Lonchura striata: one gene and its partners. The protein of the gene in region 2 interacts with the protein of the main gene of each other region in a biochemical or structural test. Links are inferred from orthologs where the notes say so. Each region holds a gene or a part of one and is shown on either strand. Other genes may lie near its edges.

Region 1 (7,618 bases), on a different chromosome or scaffold from region 2:
AGGAGATATATCAAAATAAATTATACAATACTAATTAAAATTAATGGTTTATGATTTTAACCATGGAAACCACAGGGGTCTTTACTTCACAATGATTTTAGAAAATCATAAAAATGCTAAGGACTTCATTCTCTGTATATGTTTTTATTTAAGATTTAAAGAGACAATGTGTGTACAATCCTTCAGGCTTTGGTAGCTGGAGCATGTAGTAAAGCTTTCAATTTCTTCAACATGAAACAGCTGCTCTATTTTTACTGATATCTGTAAGGCCATCAGGTAATCTTATACATTTGTAGGAAATAATATAAAAATATATTAATGCAGCATTATTATTAATACAAAATATATGAATACTCCTAAAAACAAACTATTTCACTACTTCCACTACAAGTAGTAGACACAAATTTTCTGTACTCACTGCAAATGTCAGCAGCAGGAACCTGTTCAACAGCATTGGGTTCTCCAGAGCAGCTCCAGATTTGATTGATTCCCAGATCTGCCAAGGATTGTGGGGACAAGAAGGAAGAAAAAGGGCAAAGAAACACCAGAGAACATGAGAACAGCTCCAAAAATCTGTAATTCTTCCAGCTACATATAAAGTCTGGAGATAAATATTCTTTAGCATTCTTTTAAACTGAATTAATTCATACAATTATCTGTGTTAAAAGGATTTTAAAGGTGAGACAACAGGGAATTATGAGACCACAGGAATGCGAAAAAAAATCCTAGTTTGGAGTGAAGATATGCATGAAAACTTTGTTACTCAAGGCAATTAATTAAAGGAATCAAGGACAGGTCAAAGTAAAGCATCTTAAATTTGACCTTCACCTCTCCCCAGGCCATGACATTAAATACACTGGTGACAATGCAGGCAGACCAGCCCCTCTCACCCATCTTTTTTTTGCTTTATTATCTCTCATTATCTTTATGATTATTGCTGCTGTGAAGTTTCCCCATCTCTTTGTCACACATATAAATTGTAGTAATCTGGGGTTTAAACCAGGCACTGCTGGTTTTTGGGTACGAAGACAAATTTTAAATATGTGCTCTACAGAATTTAAGTCCCTGGCAGCTCCAAGAGCATTGCAGAGCTTAAAATGTGATGGAGTTCTCCATGTAGAATTAGTTATCATTAATTAGGTTATACTCTTTTGTAGAGAACAATAAAAAGCAAACACCAAACTCTTCTTTCCAGAATAAACTGAATCCTGAGGCTGCTCAAGACTGGAATAGCTCCAAATTTGGGGCAGAGTGTAAAGCACTTCAATGAGTAGAAGGGATTTGGAAACACTCTATGATTTGATTTTAAATCTCACCTCTTTTGCTTCCTTGTCCAGAAGTGCTTTTTTATCACAGGATTTGAAAGTCTCAAAAGTGTTGGTGTTATACAATGTTCCAAAAGCAGGACAGCAACGTGCTGGTATTGAAGCATTCCTGGAAAAAAGCAGGAAAACTCTGGGAATTAACACAGTCATCAGCAGCAGCAATATCTATCTTATGGTGTTAACTTCAACCAAATGATGAGGCACAGCAACAAAATTAAAATTCATTAAATAAATAACTTAATCCTTATGAAGATGGATTGATGGAATAATAACCAGATGTGCAAACACACATCTCCATCATGGCTTCAAAAATACACATGGCATCTGTGTTCTCCCCAAGCAGAGTGACACTAAACCAGGGAGTGAAGCTTTGAATTTCTGTTCAAACAGAAGCTACCTGTGACAAATGGGATTTGCATTGAGAAAAACCAATTTAGGCTGAACTTAGATGCCAGTTTTGTACTCACACTAAGAGTTAGTTAAAATTTGATGTTTAAAACACATCCCAAAGGAAACCCAAGCCAGACAAAAGATTGAGCAACTTTTATAATTTGTAATATCATCAGCTGGAGAAGCTGCTGTTGCAATCAGTATTTTACTTTTGAGATATATTAGGTTAAAATCCTACAATATTTCCTTAATTTACAGATCTGATGGATTTTACTGCCTCCTTTAACACTGATCTCTAAACTTGGTATTTTTCCAGTCATAACAGATAAAACACTTTGGAGGACATTACAGTGTAACAACCAGGGACCTAAAATCTATTTGAAATGCTAATTAAGCTATAAGGGGAAGAGGCAAATGACTAAAAAAACCTCCCTGATGCAAAAAGCTGAGGAAATGGGAAAAAAACTGGTATTTCATATAAACATACATGTAGAAAGTGAGTGAATCTAAGAATTCAGAATATTTTAAATTCAGCCAGAAGGAGTTAATTTTTTTGTGACTCAAAGCAATCTCTCCACTGCTATGAAGTACATTAATTAATTTATTTATCCATGAAAACTGCCTTTTCTGAACTTAAAATGTGCTAATACATGACAAAACCTCAGCAAGATCATTGAAAATTGGTCTAAGAATGATGGTGACTGTAACAACAAGAGCCTTTGGCAAAAAGGTTATTTATTTACTCTCGCATAGAGGGTAAATGAATTTGTTTATTCTCAGGTAGAGTTTATTCTCACGTAGAGTTTCTCTAAGTAATATGTCAATTTTATACTAGGAAAGTGTCTCCAAACACAAATGAAAGCAAACCACAGCCTGTACTTACATATCAAAGGCACTGAACTCCAGTGTCAATCGAGCTGGCAAACCCGGAGGATCACCTGGACAAAAAACCAGCAACAAAGCTCTTTTTAAACCAAAGTATTCAGGTTATTTCCCTTTCTTTGTCGATGCAAATGACAGCGAAACACACAAAATTCCCAGCCATTCTTTGTAGCGCTTCAGCGAGCCGCCGGAGGAGCGGCGGGAGCGGAAGCGGGCCGGGCGGCGGTGCTCACCGTTGTAGTAGTAGCCCTTGATGAGCTTGGGCGTCTCGTCCAGGCGGTACTGGGTGAGCTTGCGCTGGGTCAGCTCGTGCCAGAAGCCGGCGTCCAGCGCGCTGCTGAACGGGGCGAACTGCAGCGGGGCCGGCGGGGCCGGCGCGGCGCGGCGCGGAGCGGCCATGGCCCGGCGGCGGCGGGGCCCTGCGGACACACACAGCGCCCGCTGGGCACGGAACGGCACGGGAACGGGAACGGGAACGGGAAACGGGAACGGCACGGGAACGGGAACAGGGAACGGGAACTGGGAACGGGAACGGCACCGGGAACCGCACGGGAACGTGAACTGGGAACAGCACCGGGAACCGCACGGGAACGGCACCGGGAACGGGAACCGGGAGCGGGAACCGGGAGCGGGAACCGGGAGCGGGAACCGGGAGCGGGAACGGCACGGGAATGGGACCGGGAACAGGGAACGGGAACGGCAAAATGGGAACGGGAACCGGGAACGGCACTGGGAACGGCACCGGGAACGGGAACCGGGAACGGGACCGGGAACAGGGAACGGGACCGGGAACCGGAACCGAGAACGGCAAGGGAACGGCACCGGGAACGGGAATCGGGAACGGCACAGCCACACGGGAATGACACAGCCACATGTCCCCGGGGCCAACACCGGCACGGCACCGGGACTGACACAGGAACAGCAACCGGCACCGGGACAGACACGGCACCGGGACAGGCACAGGAACGGGACCGAACACTGACACGGGAATGATACAACCACACGGCCCCGGGACAGACACGACACCGGCACCGGCACAGGAACGGGACCGACACGGGAACGGGAACGGGACCGGCACCAGGACCAGCACCGGGACCGACACGGGAACGGGAGTGACACGACCCTGGGACCGGCACGGGAACGGGACTGACACGGTACCGATACCGACACAGGAACGGGACCGAACACTGACCCGGGAATGACACGGCACCGGGACCAGCCCCGAACATGTCCATGGCACTGTCCCCGTACATGGACATGAAAACAGCACAGCCACACGGCACCGGGACCGGCACCGGCCCCGCACAGCGACACGGACTGACAGACAACCTACACGGCACCGGGCCCGGAGCCGAGCACGCACACGGGACCAACCCCGCACAGCCACGCGGCACTGGCGGAGAACCTGCACGGCACCGGCCCCGCACCGCGATCCGGGACCGACAGAGCACCGGCACCGGCCCGGAACACGGACACGGCCCCATCCCGGAACATTGACACGGCCCCGGCCGCCCGGCCCCGTCTACGCGTGGCTGCTGCCGCGGGGAGCGGGCCGAGGCCCGGACACACCGACCGCGGGGCTGCCAGGGGCACTGCAGGAACGGTGCCGGGGCTGGGGCTGGGCGGTACCGGGGCACTGCGGGAACGGTGCCGGGGCTGGGGCTGGGCGGTACCGGGGCACTGCGGGAACGGTGCCGCGGCTGGGGCTGGGCGGTACCGGGGCACTGCGGGAACGGTGCCGGGGCTGGGGCTGGGCGGTACCGGGGCACTGCGGGAACGGTGCCGGGGCTGGGGCTGGGCGGTACCGGGGCACTGCGGGAACGGTGCCGCGGCTGGGGCTGGGCGGTACCGGGGCACTGCGGGAACGGTGCCGGGGCTGGGGCTGGGCGGTACCGGGGCACTGCGGGAACGGTGCCGGGGCTGGGGCTGGGCGGTACCGGGGCACTGCGGGAACGGTGCCGCGGCTGGGGCTGGGCGGTACCGGGGCACTGCGGGAACGGTGCCGGGGCTGGGGCTGGGCGGTACCGGGGCACTGCGGGAACGGTGCCGCGGCTGGGGCTGGGCGGTACCGGGGCACTGCGGGAACGGTGCCGGGGCTGGGGCTGGGCGGTACCGGGGCACTGCGGGAACGGTGCCGCTGCCGAGCCCCGCCGGGGGCGGTGCCGGGGGCGGTACCGGGGCAGTGCTGGGGCTGGGGCAGTACCGGGGCAGTGCCGGTGGCGGTACCGGGGCAGTGCTGGGGCGGTGCCGGGGCAGTGCTGGGGCTGGGGCAGTACCGGGGCAGTGCCGGTGGCGGTACCGGGGCAGTGCTGGGACTGGGGCAGTGCTGGTGGCGGTACCGGGGCTGGGGCAGTGCTGGGGCTGGGGCGGTACCGGGGCAGTGCTGGGGCTGGGGCGGTACCGGGGCAGTGCTGGGACTGGGGCAGTGCTGGTGGCGGTACCGGGGCTGGGACAGTGCCGGGGCAGTGCCGGTGGCGGTACCGGGGCTGGGGCAGTGCCGGTGGCGGTACCGGGGCAGTGCTGGGACTGGGGCAGTGCTGGTGGCGGTACCGGGGCTGGGGCAGTGCTGGGGCTGGGGCGGTACCGGGGCAGTGCTGGGGCTGGGGCGGTACCGGGGCAGTGCTGGGGCAGTGCCGGTGGCGGTACCGGGGCTGGGGCAGTGCCGGGGCTGGGGCAGTACCGGGGCTGGGGCGGTGCCGGTACCGGGGCTGGGGCAGTACCGGGGCAGTGCGGTGGCGGTGGCGGTGGCGGTGGCGGCGGGACCCGGCCGCCCGTGCCCGCCGTCCCTTACCGGCTGCGCCGCTCGCTCCGCCCTTCCGGCACGGCGCACGGCGCTGATGCGCAGCGTGTGACGGGCGGGCGGCGCGGGGCGATGGCGTGCGGGCACGGAGGGCGGGCCCGGCCCGGGCCGCCTCCCGTGCGCTCCCGGTTCCCATCCCGGTTCCCATCCCGGTTCCCATCCCGGTTCCCATCCCCCGCCTCGGAGCAGTCGGGCGGGCCCGCGTCCCGCAGCGCTTGGAGCCGTGTGCCGCTCCAACTTCCCCGGCACACGGCGGAGCCCTGAGAAAATCCAGCAATTTAATTTCATTTTAGTCGTGGGAAAGTGCCTAAACGCGTCCCTGCAGTCGTGGTTCCTCTCTGTCTGTGGCCTTTGCTGGGAATGTGGGAAGGGCGGTGAAATTCCCGGCTGGTTCCCGGCCCGCCAGGTGTCCCCGGTGACCACGGAACGCTCCGGGAGCAGCTTGTGCTGCTAAACATCAGTCCCAGCACATCTCTGTGTGTTGGTACACATAGTATAGTAATATGTTAATATAATTAACACATAGTTTATTATAATAACATATATCATTGACATATATGTTAATTATATTACAATATGTTATAATAATATGTTATGGACACAAAATATTGGCTTTTTGCAGGTACTAAAATGGATTTTTATATGTGTAATGTTAAAGTAACTTTGTTATAAAGATGCCGGTTTTATTTCTGTTGTTAATTAAGCTTAGTGAAATTGCTGATATAAGTGTGTATGTGTTAAAGTACCTGCTTGGATGGGATCACATCCCATGAAGACAGGGTGAGGACATTGTACAGAAATGCCAACTGTCAGCACTCACCGTCTGAAGAAAATATGGACTATATTTTGGACCAAAAGTACCAACAGTTATGGACCAAAGCCATTCTTATGGAGGTTCATTCTTATCACTGGAGCTGGTAAGAATGGACTGAAACCACCACCAAGGAATGTGCATGCCCTAAAAAGGCAGAACTGAGGAGGAGCTGTGCTGAACAGTTCTTGGAATTTGTAAACTAGTTTGAGGAAAAGTTGTTACTATGCATAACAGTATATATATGTAACAGGCTGATGCAATAGAAATGGTATATGAAGGGTGTTTCCAAAATAGCAGGTGTGCTCTTGACTGAGTGCCAAGATGCACCCAGCCATAATAACTGTTGCTCTATGGTCCTATTGTCCTTTATTAAAGTTTTAACATTTTTACAAGAGAGTGAACATGTTTTACGTATCTCCTAGAAATCCTCAGACTCTTGTTGTGTTCTCTGAAACTCCATGTCCTCTGACCTTGGCTGTCAACTGGAAAACACTGAAAACATTTTACAGGAAACCACACCTGAAATATTCTCTTGAGCTTTGGCCTTACATTGGTGGGAGGTTTCTCCATTTCTTACCGAAATTTGCTTTCCTCTGCTTCCCTCACATCCAGAGCCACTGGAATTGCCTGTTCAGTGAAATAAACTCAGAAATTTTCTTAGGTACTTGCTATTTAAAATAGACACTATCCCATTTCTCTGTTTTATTGTTATCTAATAGCTATATATATAAAATGTGGTTATCACAAATCCCCTGTCTTTGCTATTAACACAGTTACACAACAATCATGGGTAAATTGGCTTGAAATTAAAAAAAAATTCAGGCAGCTGTGTTTTCCTTGGTTTAGCTGTTTGAATGTTCTTTATTTTTACCAAAGGTTTTTGTTGTCACAGTCACCATCATTTTTAGACCAATTTTCAATGATTTTTATCAATTTTCAATGACCTTGCTGAGGTTTTTTTTGTGTATTAGTACATTTTAAGGTCAAAAAAGGCAATTTTTATGATCAACAGGACAGATTTCTCAGCAGTCCTTGGGTAAATGTGTTTTTTAGCACCAATAACTGTGGCTGACTTTTATTTCCTCGGGGACCATCTAAATTGCCATCCATTTTGGCCAGAATTGCTGTTGCAAATCGGAATAGAAAAAAGAACAATTTAATGGCTGTGAACCTCAGCAATTGTTTGTGAAAGGTCAGGAATTAGAGCATGTGTTTCAAAAAGTTCTGTTCTCTACTGCAAAGAGGTGCATTTTACTACTTGTGCAGGTGTTCCTCCTGCAGTGAAAAACTTGTCTGCATTCTGCGCTGAATTTTGTTGGTTTTATGTTCTCTCTCTGCATTTTGCCTTATTTCTGCTAGATTTAAGATTCCTAATTGCGGTTTTTCCTGAGTGCAACTTGAAACCAA
Region 2 (7,622 bases):
AGATTTTCTTGAAAATCAGAACCTTCCTAGGACTGTTTTTGTTTGTCTGTTGCTTTCTCTGAACAAGGATTTGGCCCAAGGGCATGTGCAGTTCACTCACAATTGGCTCTTGTGTTGTAGTGTTTTCCTGCCACTTTCTCTCCACTCCAGACAGAATTTTCATGGCTAAGGAAGTCCATTGATGGCACCCATGGGAAATCTCACACTGTCTCAGCTCAGTAGCCAGTTTAATCTCCTATTTTCCTTTAGTACTTTTCAATTGATGCCATTAAAGATTAAAAAAAACCAAAAACCACATGGTTACTCCAAAATGCTCAAGGGGTTATTTTGGTGGAGTTTTTCTTCAGGAAAAAAAAAAAAAAAAAAAAAAAAAAAAAGCAGGGCTGGAGAATGCTATGGTAACTGCAGCTGTGGAGATTTTGGTAAAAATGTTGGTGTTGAGTTGGGCACTTGTGGCTTTCAGAGCCCTGCGAAGGGTGGGTGTGGGAGGATTCAAACAGCCAAGGTACCCTGCATGTTTTCTCTGTGCATTTTCAGACCTGGACATGAATTTTTGGACTGTGTATAATCTGCTAGGTGGTGTCCATGACCCTGAAGGTCAGAAATGCCTGTTGGGGTCTGTAGCCCTGTAGCATCAGTGCTTTGCGTGTCCCAGCTGCCCCTGTGACTCAGGTATTGCTGTTCATGAGCTGCTTCTCCCTTTACACTAGGTCTGGTTTAAGCCATTCCATCAAAACAGGGAATAGGGTCTGGAATCCTGCTTGGTCTTTGGTGCAGCTCCTGATATGCAGCAGTTTACATAATGCCTTTGATCTGCAATAATTGTATGCTGCCTCCCAAAAAAATTAACCTCCAGCAAGCTGAAGTCTGGCTAATTGAACAGTGAGGCAAGGCAGAAGAAAAATGTGACCTCAGTGATCTCTCTCTGTTGTTTGTAACCCAGAGAAATATTTCCTTGGAGGTGGTGACCTGCTTATGGATTTTTGCTTTCTCAAGTAGGTGGCAGTGCTACTTCTCTGAACAGTGAAAAATCTGTAGTGTCCTGCATTCTTTTGGACACTTCCTTAATGATAGCTGTCCTACCAGTAGCTTGGTGTCACAGTAGCTTGGGACAGAGTATTGAGTGTTGGTTTTAAGTAAAACAAGCTGTAATAAATAACCTATTGCAAAACAAAAGATCATGGCCCTTTTTTATTGTGTTGAGATCATAAAACTTGCAGTGAAATGACTGAACTCATGCTATGTGCTGGTTGGTTGGAGGATTGAGGGTTGGTTAGGGGATTTTTCTCAGGATTGAGAGCAGCCTGGCATGAAATATACTTGGGAATTTGAATGAAAGGCTCTTAAGCTGGGTTGGGAGTCAAGGAGTTTGTCAGATCGATCTGGGCAGGGCCTTACTTAGGCCATGTAGTGCCACCTTTACACCAGCACCCAAAATTAATTCAGATTTATTTTTTAAAACTGGCAAGAGGTGAAGCAAGCTGAAGAACAAAAACTATCATTTACTTACTATGGAACAAAGTAATTAACTAAATAGTAACTAAACTAATAAACTAAACTCAAGTTTATTTGGATTAGGACCATTAGAGAGTCACAGAGCTGTCAGCAATTTCCATGTATGAAAGTCAGGGGAGGGTGTCATTTTCCTACATTACCACAAACGGTCAAAAAGAAAGATGGAGCTCAGTTTCTGGTCCTGTGCTTCGTGAGTCTGGGCCTGGTTATTTGTATGGTAAAACTACTGCCAGACTGAGGAAGAGAGAAAAATTAGCATTATGGTTCTAGTCCTTTTTCCTAGCCAGGATCACAGGAAGCTTGAGCAGCCTATGCCATCTGCATCTTGGAGCTGCTCTGTGCTGGGGCTGGCCTGGTTTGCTGTCTTGGAAAAGTCAGTTTTGGTTTTGGTGGATCCCTGTCGAAGGCTGAGGAAACATCTGCTGTTGGGAAAACAAACCCTGATGGATTAACAAGGTAATGAAAGGGAGTTTGGGGCATGGCTCTGGGCTGGGAAGGGCAGCATGTGAGACCCAAGGATGTGCTACCTCTGTGCTGAGATAAGGCTCTGACAAGAGTGGAGGTAACTGTAAAAGCTGAGCTTGTGAACACCTTCTGTGGATTTGTGTTGGCTCCAGAACCCTCCCAAGTAACTCCTTCCCTGCCTAAGGTGGCTGACAGTGTCCTTCACATACAGGACACAGATGTGTCTGCCCCATCCCTGGAAGTGTCCAAGGCCAGGTTGGACAGGGCTTGGAGCAACCTGGGATAATGGAAGGTATGGGCAGGGGTGGGACTGGATGAGACTTAAGGCCCCTTCCAACCTAAACCAGTCTGTGATTTGTTTCATCTTGTCTTAGTTACTTCTCTAGAGGACAAAGGCAAAGATCTCACACCAAGAGAGGCTGGGCTAAAGTGAGCAGAGCTACAGCAGCTCCTGGGACCCACCAGCTGCAAGAGAAGCAGAAGCAGCTGGGGGTGCAGGGGCAGCAGCTTGGACACTGCCTTGGCCAGCAGGAGCCCGGGCATCAACACAATTCTGTTGGCAAAAATACACTTCCTTTACCAGGATTACAGGATTCCTCCAGGGAGATTTCCCTCACTGCTGTGGTTTCACAAGATCCAGGAGTGCTCGTTTTTAGTGGTGCTGCACTGTGGAATGCTGGCATGCGGGAAGATCCTTGTCGATTCCAGGTCATGTCAGGACAGCTCGCTGGTGCCTTAAACCTTTGACTGATCTGGGGAGAAGGGGGTGGGATCTCAAATGCACCTCCTTAAATAAGGAGTTTGGCCAGGGACATCAGTAAAACCAGGCAAGAGGGGCATTAATGTGTGCTGAATTGTTCAGGAAGCTGAGGGCTGAAGGAATAAGTGTATAAATTAAATCAAACTATTTGATCCATATCCCATTTCTGGAGGTACACTAACATGCTGAGAAGCTCCGGAGGTCCTATGAAATGGAGTTTTTTCTCCCTTTCCAGGTTTCTGAATAATTTTCTGTGGAATTATGGCCACAGTCCTGCAGTGAGGTCTGCATGGATAAAACCAGGGGCCACATCATGAAATTGGAAAGACTTTCACATTCCTCTCATTGAAAAGAGGTTCACACTTTATAGCAACAGTAACAAGCCCCATTGCTGAGGATGAAGTCTGTAAAGGTCATCACTTGCCATGTCTGATTCAACATTCCTGCTTTCCCTTCAGTATTTTTAACAGGACCTATATCAGAGATTAATATCTTTACGTGTATCTTAATTATGGAAGTGAATCTGAAGAGTTTATACTTCCTTACCAGTATGTGCTTGTTTAACTACTGCTTGGTCAAGGAAAATCCATTATATTGAGCATGTAAGTGTTTTCTTTCTTGGGTAAACTCAGCAAGGAAACAAGAATTTCTTCAATTCTCATTAAACACATATTTGTTTAAATTGGTGACGCAATAATCGGAGCAGTTCTTTCAAAACTGCATTTTTCATGTATTTTTTTTTACCAAGGTTGTACTTAATCCTTTAACATTTTGTGTTTGCTCCTGTTTTGTGCCAATTCACTGTAGCAATGAGACATTGCTCCACACGATACAGCTCCTGTTGTGGCGTGCAGTGAGGAGGGATATTAGACCTGGTGATACACTGACGCTCTGTTTGCAGTTGTTTTTGATTCATTTATCAGCTCCAGAAATAGCTGCCCTATTTGTAGTCATGCTGCAGGCTTTAACATATTCAGCATAGCCATGGCTGTGAATGCAGGAGGGAAAACAACGGGCTCGTTAGCAGAGAGATGATTGGGGTAGATGGGAATCACAAATGTCAGAGTATCTGTGAGAAAGTAGTTTACATCCAGGTTTGTTGGCTGGAATCTGGTCTGAGCTGTTGTGGCTTCATCCCCACACAATCCTTCCTTCTCCACCCTTCTCACAACAGCCACATTTGCTGCCCAAAGCTGGTGGTGACACTCGGAAGATGTTTTAGTGAAGATGTCCAGAAGATGCCACCGCAGGCCAGAGTCACGGACACCTCTGTCTGTGGAGCAGCTCTGGAAATCCCAGCCCAGGTGTCCTTCTGCTGCCTTAAGCAAGGCCCTCAGGTCCTCTGCTCCATCAGGACTGGAAAAAAAGCTTGTGTTTGGGGTCACCTCTGAATAAAGCACCATGTCCCATCGGGAAATGGGGATGCTCTGCCATGGCTCGTGTCACGGCCATCCTCGTGTCACCAGCTGCTCTCTCCCATGTTGCGGCTTGTAAAAAAGAAAGGGGCAGATAGTAATAGGACAAGAGGGAATAGTTTTAGACAAAAGAAGTGAGATTTCGATTGGTATTGGGAAGGAATTTTTCCCTGTGATGATGCTGAGGTCCTGGCACAGGGTGCCCAGGGAAGCTGTGACTGTCCCATCCTTGGCAGTGCCCAAGGCCAGGCGGGACAGGGCTGGGAGCAGCCTGGGACAGTGGAGGGTGTCCCTGCCATGGCAGGGGCGGCACGGGCTGGGCTGTAGGGCCCGTTCCAGCCCAACCCCGGAGCGGCCCCGCGCCCCCCGCGCCCCCCGCGCCCCGCGCCCCCCGCGCCCCCCGCGCCCCGCGCCCCGCGGTCCCGGGGCGGGCGGGCTCAGGCCCCGCCCCCTGAGGGCGGTGCGCGGTGACGTCACCGCCGCTCCGCCGCAGCCCCAGCGCAGACGGAGCCGCCCGGTGCCGGAGCCGCCCGGTGCCGCCGCAATGCCCTCGGACCGGCCCTTCAAGCAGCGCCGCACCTTCGGTGAGCCGGGACCGGCCGGGAGCGGCCGCGCGGGAGGGAGGGACGGGCGGGCGGATGTGCCCTGCGCCGCCCCCGCCGTGCTGCCCGGCGGGGCGGCCCCGCCCGGGCCGGGGCTCGGCCGCCGCGGGTCCCGCCGGGGCGGCCGCGGGAGCAGCGGGGCCCGGCCGGGGGCGGCGGTGCCGCAGCCGCCGCGCGGTGATGTCATCCCGCGCCGCGCCCGGCCGAGCGCAGCGCTGTCCCCGGGCCGTCCCCGCTTCTCCCGGGGACCGGGGTCACCGGGGCGCGGCGGCGGCCGCAAAGGGCCGTGGAACGCCCGGGGGGACGGTGATGGCCACGTGTCCCTTTCGACTGTCAGAACACAAAGACCTCCCCAAAAATCGCCTTCCGCGCTCCCCATCTGGTCGGCGTTGGGGCGGTTGTTGTTCCAGGATGTCGCACGCCCTCTGTGATGGTTGTGAGACACAGAGTCAGTGCTCGCATCCTCCCCGCCTCTTTGTCAGAGGTCCGTGGTGGGGAGGCTCAAAAGGTGAGGAGGTGACTGTAGAAAGTCCCGGATTTCTATCTCCAGACCCGACAGCGGAATCCGAGGAAACACCAACTGCTGTTTTCCCTTGACCTTTGCCGGCTGGCGCAGGGAGAGGTGTGTGCTTCTGGCAGGTTAAATTTCTGGGGAGGGGGTAGCAGTTGAACTTTACTCGCTGTATAATGCTGAAATCGGTACTTTTATGCCATAAAAAACCCTCATATTGTGCCAGAGACTGTCCAAACGCAGGTGAGGGCGTTTCCTACATGAGTTTTAAAATTGGAGTTTTTGCCTGCTGAAAGCTGCTGATCCAGCCCCTTCTGCTCTCTTGGAAACTGTAAATATTTGGTATTATATTGGCACAACCCTTCTGGCCTTGAATGCTTACCCAGTCCTCCCCTGCCACAGGACCGAGCCAAGGGAACATGCACAAACAAGAACCAGCTGAAGCCTGGGAGCTTGGGATCCTTGCTGGGAACCTGCTGTGTGCTCCTAAGCTACGTATTAAAACCAGTGAAGTCCTAAATCGGCCCCTTAGTAACTACCTACTGTTAAATTGGTGAGAATCAGCTTATTATGGTTAGGAGTAGACTGGTTTGCCTTTGTGGATTGCTCAGACTTTCTTTGAGCCAGAGGGAAAACAAAATCTGAGGCTCAGAGTAGTTGAAAGAAAGCAGGATTAAAATAGCCCGGGAGGGACAGAGGGGGTGAGGGAGTTTGGTGCCGGCAACTGCAAGTGCTCCTTGTTTCTCCGTACTTTCCTCTGCCCTTTTGCTCTCTCAGCTGACTGGGCTGCAGAGCTGAGCCAGGAGGAGAGAAGGAGGAGGACGCCTGGCAGCCCCTGCAGTTGCTTTGGGTCAGGGCTGGAATTACTCTGTTGGAGAAAGTAAATATGGCTTGTTTTTGTCTTTGAATCATTACACAACAGGAGCAGGAAGTGATTGTTTACAATGCAGTTGGAGAGGGCTAGTGGAAAACATCTCCAGTGATTCCATACCCTCAGAATGGCTTAATTTTTAAGGCTTCAAAACTTTACAGAAATGGAACGGTTCCAAAAAAGCAGTGAAAAGGCAGAGTCAGGGCTATGGCTGTTTACAAAAGGCACACAGGCTCCAGTTTCATGGCAAGTGGCTGCCTTAGGTCTTGGGCTGCTGCTTCTCAGTGAAGATTCTCGTTTCCCCAAAGCTTGTGTTCCCCCCTTCTTGTATTTTTTGAATTTTTCTGTGAATTTCTTAGGTTTGTTCAACTGCTTGGTCTTGGGTCTCTCCTGAGTAAAATTTCCTGATTTCTCCTCATCATTTCTAAGGACTTGAGAAGGGGACTGACTGTGAAACAACAGGGGTTTGATCCAAGGTGTGTGGAGGGCACGGAGCAGTGACTCCTCCCGTGATCTCAGGTGCTGTCCCTGGTGGGCAGGTGAGCTCTGTGAGCTGGTCCTTGGCAGCAGAACGTCCTTGCTGTGTGTGCAGGGGGTAAGATGTGGCAGCACCCTCTGCATCCATGTGCTGAACCCAGAGGCTGAGGCATGTTCAGATCTGTTGCAGGAGTCCAAAACAATTCCCAGAACAAAGCTGTGGTCTGTGTCAGAGGAACAGGCTGTCCTGGCAGTCGTGAGAGTGTGCAGCAGCCTGATGACACCATTGCACTTCCCGAAAGGAACACGGGTCCTTGGGAGCATTGTCCCACTGCTCCTGAAGTGAGGTTTGCATTGGGCTGGCAGCAGCTGCCAGCTGTGTTTTCAGTGCAGCACAAAATCAGTGTGGTGATGGACATGGGCCTGGATCCTGGAGCAGCCAGGTGACCCAGAGCACCTTGGTCCCGTGCCCCCGTGTCCGGCAGGAACAGAGGCAGGAACACACCTGCATGTGCCTTGTGGCTCAACTGGAGTCCCTGATTTGGTGACAAACACAGAGGTTTGACCTCAGCCTCTGTGGACAGAGTGTTCCCATCCCAGGTTCCATCCTCTTGGAGATCTGCCTTTGTTTGTGGGAAGCCACTCTCTCTTCAGAGGAAACGCAGTGGTGGGTGTGGAGCAAATCCCCTGTTGGCTCTGGGGATCGGCGTCCCTGGGGACTCATCCAGCACAAGCCAGCTGTGCTTGTACCCACTGAGAGACCAGTAGTGGCTGAATTGTCTGCCTCACACACCGTTCTGTGCTTATCACAACAGTTCTGCTCATTAGTGGCTTGGAAAAACATCTGGATATTGATGTGAGATTGGTCTGTGAGCCCTCGCTGGTCCTTGGCTGGTTCTTGGGTGTCTGTGCTCTGGCAGTTGTGCTTTGAGAGCTGGGATTCCTTGAGAGGAGGATGCTGCTCCAAATTGCTGCTTAGCTGCCTGTGTCTTGGATTAATTACTGA
Region 3 (7,122 bases), on a different chromosome or scaffold from region 2:
AGCACTTTTTACTCAAAAAAGGTACCTTTAATAGGAGGAAAAAAGGTCAACAGGGCAGTCCATTTTAAGTCTCATTGCTTCAGAAGCTACAAGGATGAAGTTGAAGTGTTTTCCAGGAGCCCAAAGCTGCACCAGGTCCACATCCAAGTTAAAAAGCCCTTCTAGAATGTGAAGTCACTGTATACAAGTCCATCATGACAGCAGTAGCAGCAGAAGCTCATACTACTCCCCACACTTCCTCAAAGGCAGTAGTAATTTTAGCACATGTCAGGGCAGCAGAAAGGGGATAGTTGCTGATGGAGACCATCTTTTCTGTATAGTCAACACTGACCTGGAGAAGAGGGAGGAGAAATAGAAAAAAAAAAAAAAAAAAAGTTGCAAAAAGTTTTCACTGAGCCTCATCTCCATTAGTACAAGAAAGACAAGGAGCCACTGGAGAGGGTCCAGCAAAGGCTAGACAGATTATTCAGACATGGAACCATCTCTTATGAGAAGAGACTGCAGGGTCTGCTTTGTGTAGGGAAGGGAAGACTGAGAGGGGATCCCATTAATGCACATAAATATCTCAAGTGTGGGTGCCAAGAGATGGTGCCAGACTCTTTCCTCCAGTGCCCAGCAACAAGGCAAGGAGCAATGGCCATAAACTAAAACACAAGGAAGTTTCACCAAAAAAGAAGGAAGAACTTCTTTATTATGAGGGTGGCAGAGAACTGAACATGCTGCCCAGGGAGGTTGTGGAGTCTCCCTCTCTGGAGACGTTCAAAATCTACCTGGACATGTTTCTGTGTCACCTGCTCCAGGTGACCCTGCCTTGGCAGGGAGTTGGATTGGATGATCTACAGAGATCTCTTCCAACCCTAAGACCTGCAGAGGCACAGTATTTCCTCAGCAGGGAAACTGCCAGCCTCTGCTAATGCACTCCCCTTGGGAGGGAGAACAGTCCCAAATGTAGCAGTTTTGAGCCTTTTTTTGACAAGCATATGAGGGGAGGGGGGGAATGGGGATGGGGAAACCAAGCCAAGAAAAGGGCAGATAAAACCTCCATACTGAACACAAGAAACCTTTCCACAACCCCAGATAAGGGATGCACACACTTACTGAGCCGTGGGCAAAAGCTCCCACCACAATGACAACTGGCTCTGCTGCAGGAACCAGCTCCCGCAGATCTGACACCTGTGACACTGCAAAAGAGGTGCCAATCTTCATACAGCCCACGGGCAAATGGTCAGTGACTGGGTTTTTTATCACCTACAGAAAGCAGAAAATGAATAGAGGTTAGAGGTAACAGACCCTCTTGACACATAGCTAGAGCCATTGTTTGCTAAAATCAACAGACAAACAAAAAATCCATCAGCTGTTTGCAGGCTGCATTCAGGACTGGTGCATCTCGAGCAACCCATCCTCATTGTCCTTGGTGTTTACAAAATACCACGGTGGTGTCATTCCACAACCAACACTGTCATTCCACAATTCAACATCACAGACTGCCCTCACCCAAAAAATCAAATGCCCTTGAGGTACACATCCTGTTTCCCTATCCCCCCCCGACTACCCACCAAGTACAGCCGGGTCCTTGAGCAAAAACAATCCCAGATGGGTGGAGATATGCCCAAGGTACAGGTGATGTTCAGGTAGATGAGTCTTAGCTGTGGGGAGCAGTAGAACGAGTAGCAGAGCTCCCCATGACCAGCAGTGCAATTCCTGAATAATCCAAAATTGAAAAAGTCCACAAGACCTTCTCCCAAGTGACAGTAGGCAATATAGAATAGCCAGGGGAAGCTGAGGCACAGCACTGCTCCCAGGAAGAGCATCCCAAACACCACCTTCTCCTGCAAAGAAGGCATGAAGTACTCATTGGGCAGCAGGGTCAGGATCCCCAGGCACAGGGACAGAACAAACCCCAGCAGGTGTGTCCAGATGTTGCCAGTCTCAGTGTGTACCTGGAAGATGCTCTTGAAACAGGCACAGAGGGATGGCAAGGAGGACTTGTAGTCCCCTATAGGCAATTCTGTGTCATCTTGGCTGGCAAGCAGGCAGCTGCTGGGATTTAAAACCACTCTCCTTCTTTGGGGAATCCCGATTTTCCAGAAGAAACTTACAAAACACGTTTAAGTCCTGGTTAGTTCTTTGCTTCTGGGAGTCTTACTGACCTGCCTGCTGACCTGTGTCATTGGGCAGGGGCACTGGCTAGGGCTGAGCCTTCTCTGCCAAGATGCCATTACCATCACCTTCCTCAGGCTGCTGCTTTTCTGGCCTTTTCCAGCCACAGGGGTGGTTCTTCATCGGAGGAATCTGATATCCGATAAATCTTTTGTCCATGTGGTTTATCCAGTCTCCCCCTCCGTGACTGCAGAAGCCATTCAAGTTAATTACATCTTCATTTCCACCTCTCTCTGCCTTTTTGAAAGCTGTACCCAGAAAGTGTCAATGCCCATGCGTGGCAGTCAGGCTCACATGAGGAACAGATCCCTCAGCTCCAAAGACTGGTGTGTTTGGGGTTTCCTTCCTGCAGCAGCAGCTCCTAGCCAGGTTAGCATGTGGGGCAGCTCCCCTGAAACCAGGGCCACCAGCGAGGATAGGACGGGATAGATCAGAAACCACACCCACAATCAGGACTCGCAACCAAAAAAACACCTTCTCCCCATCGAGAAAAAATCCCTCCTACATTCCATTACAATGTTGCAATATTTGCTGTGAACAGTTACAAAATATTTACCTTCAGCAGTTTCTGAGGCCCATCAGCTGCTCTAACACTGAGCTTATGTAACAGCTGAACTGGCAAAGAGAAAACAAAACAAGAAAAATCACTTAAGCTGTGTGGCGATTTGTTGGATGAATCCCATGCTTTGCCTAACCTGAGGTACACCAAAAGTCCACCTTTAGAGTTCCTATCACAGTCTGAAAGAATTTATTTTGCTGACAGCACAGCCTCCTGCAGGCACTCTCCACTGTGCTAAGGAGCACACAGCTGGGGTATGCATCCTGGAACATCCCAGAAAGATGCTCTCGCTTCTGTGCTCTTTTCTCACTTTCACATCGTAAGGTCGGTGCTAGTTTTTCACTTTACCCGAAATTCCCCCAGTCCTGACTACCTCCCTGCATTATTCTGTAGCTGGTGTAGTTTGAATTGCTTACCCATTAGCCCACAGAATCGATCAAAAGTTCTTGGGATTCTGGTCTGGGGATTGACTTCAATGAGAACATTTTTCTTGGTGTGGATATAAACCTGTAGGAGCCCAGCCCGATTCAGGGGGCTGTCCATGAGCATCAGGAGACTCTGAAAGTGAAAAGCACACGATAGTGGAAATAGAAAGGCATAAGAGAGAAAATTTTAGGGAAAATTGATGCTTAGCCCCCGCAAATGCAGACGGGAGCGATGTCGAGGCTGAAAGCTCATCTCATTACGGGACGGGACACTGTAATGCTAAGAAATCAAGCCCACACCCAAACTCAGACTCAGCTTAAAGCCCACCAGCACAGCGGGGGAGCCCAAACTCGGCCCCGGGCTCCAGGGGCACCGGCGGACGCCCGGACCCGAGGGGCGATGGCCCCGAGCCGCCCCGCCGGGCCCAGCGGGTACCTGGTGCGTGATGTCAGGCCGCACCTCCCCGGGGTCCCGGCCATTCCGCAGCAGCAGCGCCTTGTGCTTGTCGCAGTTCAGCAGCTCGAACGTCTTCCCCACCTACGGCCAAAGCACGGACGGGTGAGCGGCGAGCGAGACCATCCCGGGCACGCCCGGACCCGCCCCGATCTCCCGCCGCCCACACCTTCACGGTCTCCAGGCTCGCCCCCTCCAGCACGACGAGGAGCCGGCGCTGGCCGCGGAGCCGCTTGGCGCCCGGCGAGCGCCCTTCATCCTCCTCCTCTTCCTCCGGCGGCGCGGCCCCACGTGCCCGCCTGGGCGCCGCCATTTTGTCACGCGGCCCCGCCGGCCCCGCCCCGGCCCCGCCCTTCCCGCCGCGGCCACCCAAGATGGCGCCGGGGCGCGCCCTCGATCTGGCTCCGGCCGGACCCGCTTCCGGAGCGCCTCGGCCGCCGCGCCGGAAGGCGAGTGCTGGGGGCGGGAAGGGGCAGCGTGGGGAGCTCCCGGCGCCGCGGTTTCCCGCCGGAGCGGCACGGCGGTCGCTCCTTCCGGTGTCCTTCCCGGCGGGGGCGGCGGCGGGGCGGCCATGGCGCAGAACCTGAAGGACCTGGCGGGGCGGCTGCCGACCGGGCCCCGCGGCGTCGGCACCGCGCTCAAGCTGCTGCTGGGCGCCGGCGCCCTGGCCTACGGCGTGCGAGAGTCCGTCTTCATTGGTGAGTGGGGTCCCCCCCAGCCCCTCGGAGCCTTCGCGGCCGCTGTCCACGCTGACCAAAGCCTCGCTCTCTCCCCGCAGTGGAGGGCGGCCAGCGCGCCATTTTCTTCAACCGCATCGGCGGCGTGCAGCAGGACACCATCCTGGCCGAGGGGCTGCACTTCAGGTAGGGCCCGGCCCCCCCGGCCCCCCGGCCCGGCGGGGCCCTCGCCCCTAACGCGGCTCCGCTCCCGCAGGATCCCCTGGTTCCAGTACCCCATCATCTACGACATCCGAGCGCGGCCGCGGAAAATCTCCTCCCCCACTGGTTCCAAAGGTGAGACGGAGGGGCCACGGGGTGGGGAGCACAGGACAGGAGCTCCGCCATAGTGGAGGCGCTTTTCAGACAATTACGGAATGTTAAGGGCTTGGAATAGACCTTAAAAATCGTTCAGTCACAATTTCCTGCCGTGGATAGTGACGCCTTTCACCAGCCCAGGCTGCTCAAAGCCCCATCCCACCTGGTCACGAGCACCTCCAGGGCTGAGGCATCCGCAGCTTCCCTGGACAGCTTGTGTCACCCCGCCCTCACCGTAAAGGATTTCTTCCCAATTCCCAGCCCAAGTGTCCCTCTCCCAGTCGGTGCTGCCTGCTCCTTGTCCCGTTGCTGCCGGGGAGGGGCTGTGCAGCCGCCCCGCGGCCCTGAGCGCTGCTGTCCCCGCAGACCTGCAGATGGTGAACATCTCGCTGCGGGTGCTGACGCGGCCCAACGCGGCCGAGCTGCCCAGCATGTACCAGCGCCTGGGGCTGGACTACGAGGAGCGTGTGCTGCCCTCCATCGTCAACGAGGTGCTCAAGAGCGTCGTGGCCAAGTTCAACGCCTCGCAGCTCATCACACAGAGGGCCCAGGTGAGCCCTGCCGCGGCAGCCTTGACGGGGGAGCCATGTGGCAGGTGCAGGAAGAGTGGCTGTGTTCAGCTGGGGGTACTGCATCCACGTGGGAAGCGTGTCCCACGTACAGCTTGATTCCAGTGCAGGTACAAATGCTGTGTCAGCAGCTTTAGAGGAGGGAAGTGGGTCTGTTGGTGCACAGAGTGCAAAACTGCACCAGAATGTAACACTAAGGGTGAGCTGGTTTGCTTCACGGTCCACAGGTGTCTGTGGAACTGGCTTTAAAAATACAGACCTTGGAATGACTGTCAGAGCAAATGAAACGGTTTTGAACAATTTGAGAAACAGTGGGAATGAGCAGTTAACAGAGCACTAACCTGTCAGTGGTGGATGCTTCAGAAGAGTCATGTATAACTTCTGTTTGCAGTCACAGAGTGGGCCAGGCTGGAAGGACCACAGTGGGTCATCTGCTCCAGCCTCCCAGCTCAAGCCAGGTCATCCCAGAGCACATGGCACAGGGTTCCATTCAGATGGTTCTTGAATGTCTGTAGTGAGGGAGACTCCACAAGCTCTTTGGGCTGCCTGTTACAGTGCCCTGTCACCTGCACAGTAAGAAGTTATTCCTCCTATCCAGGTGGAGCTTCCTGTGTTCTGGTTTCTGCCCATTGCCTCTTGTCCTGTTGTTTGACATCTCTGAGAAGAGCCTGGCTCAGTTGTCTTGGCACCCTCTCTGCAGGCAATGATTAGAAAAAGCTTAGAGTGGGAGAGTGTCCTCTGGGGGAGTGTTGCAAAATATTAGAATTACCTAGCTTAAAAATGCCTGTTTGTGGAAGCTTGTATTGTAATAGTTTGATTGCCAGGGATTCTGAGAGCTCTCATCCCCTACAGCAGCTGGCGCAGAGAGGAGGTGCTGGTCTTGTTGTAAAAGGTTTTAGAGGATGTCCTGCAGGACCAGGAGGGTGTTGAAGAGGAAAAGCTGTTGGATGAAATACAAAGCATCTTTCAGCTATCAGAGACTGTATCTCTGATCTGTGTCAAAAGAACCAAAGAGTGAAGCTGGGTGTCCTGGTTTTGTTATAAGAAGTGACCTGTATCCCCCTGGTGAGGGGCTTCAGCTTTTTGTGCTCATCCACATGGAGTGCACTGGAGGGATTTGTTAGTCTTCATGTAGAAAGAGAGTGTGTGGAGAGGATGAGACAGCAAAGAATATCTGTGTGAGGGTTTCAGCTGTGCTGGAAGCAAAGGCTGTTAAGCATCTGTGATCTCAGATAAGAATCATTGTTTAATCTCAGAAATTTTGGAACAAACTGAATTGCATTTATCTTGTCATGTATCCATCTAGTGCTTGTTATTCTAAAGTGATATGGTATTGAACGGATTGATAGAAAAAAATTAAGTGACTTAATGTAGTTGTGCACTGACAGTTCACACAGGAAAGTTTTCTGTCACTATTTAGAGTTCTGCTCAGAAACAGCTGCACTAAAAGTAAAAGCAAATGGTCAATTGGCCAAGCATGTGATATTGTAGCAATAGTTTCTGTTTAAGTCAATATTTGGTGCAGGACTTGTCAGGCTGCCTGAAAGAGGTGCTGGGAAGTAAGTGTAGAATAAATCAAAGTATCAAACAGCAACACCCACCCAAAGCAGCCGAAAAAAGTGGAGTTGCTACACTAGACAAGTAGCTACTGTAATTAAGAGATCTGATATAGGTTAAAAAAACTATGTGGTCATTTCTTTTTTTGTGTTGGAGTACAGTTATGAAAGCACAGCCTGCAAACAGTGGCAAATCCAGGTGGATAAAGAAATGCTTATTGCCAGAACTGTGGGAGCTATGGAACTGGATGTGAAAGCAAAAGACACTTTCAAGGTTTTTTACTTTCACAGTGTTACTTGCGTAGAACAGTTTAGTAGTAACTGTAGATGAGCTGTAATAGAGTTTTGAAAATGCTTTTTTTGGC

What was found.
Region 1: the proteins of MAP1LC3A (region 2) and ATG7 form a complex in vitro, tested with the Homo sapiens proteins (2 studies listed by BioGRID, with this or other methods). The link is inferred for Lonchura striata from reciprocal best matches to the Homo sapiens genes MAP1LC3A and ATG7.
Region 3: the proteins of MAP1LC3A (region 2) and PHB2 form a complex in vitro, tested with the Homo sapiens proteins (2 studies listed by BioGRID). The link is inferred for Lonchura striata from reciprocal best matches to the Homo sapiens genes MAP1LC3A and PHB2.

The regions. Positions count from the first base shown.
Region 1 is NC_134614.1:5,343,562-5,351,179, forward strand, and holds the start of ATG7 (ubiquitin-like modifier-activating enzyme ATG7), read right to left. Parts: upstream 3,006-7,618; 5' UTR 2,997-3,005; coding exon 2,831-2,996; intron 2,654-2,830; coding exon 2,599-2,653; intron 1,435-2,598; coding exon 1,317-1,434; intron 497-1,316; coding exon 419-496; intron 1-418. UniProt on the Homo sapiens protein: E1-like activating enzyme involved in the 2 ubiquitin-like systems required for cytoplasm to vacuole transport (Cvt) and autophagy.
Region 2 is NC_134619.1:13,501,317-13,508,938, reverse strand, and holds the start of MAP1LC3A (microtubule-associated protein 1 light chain 3 alpha), read left to right. Parts: upstream 1-4,614; 5' UTR 4,615-4,699; coding exon 4,700-4,739; intron 4,740-7,622. UniProt on the Homo sapiens protein: Ubiquitin-like modifier involved in formation of autophagosomal vacuoles (autophagosomes). While LC3s are involved in elongation of the phagophore membrane, the GABARAP/GATE-16 subfamily is essential for a later stage in autophagosome maturation.
Region 3 is NC_134604.1:29,818,471-29,825,592, reverse strand, and holds the start of PHB2 (prohibitin-2), read left to right. Parts: upstream 1-4,117; 5' UTR 4,118-4,169; coding exon 4,170-4,296; intron 4,297-4,376; coding exon 4,377-4,461; intron 4,462-4,531; coding exon 4,532-4,611; intron 4,612-4,998; coding exon 4,999-5,183; intron 5,184-7,122. Other genes in the region: EMG1 (ribosomal RNA small subunit methyltransferase NEP1), read right to left, coding at 218-331, 1,099-1,248, 2,717-2,775, 3,136-3,277, 3,581-3,682, 3,768-3,911.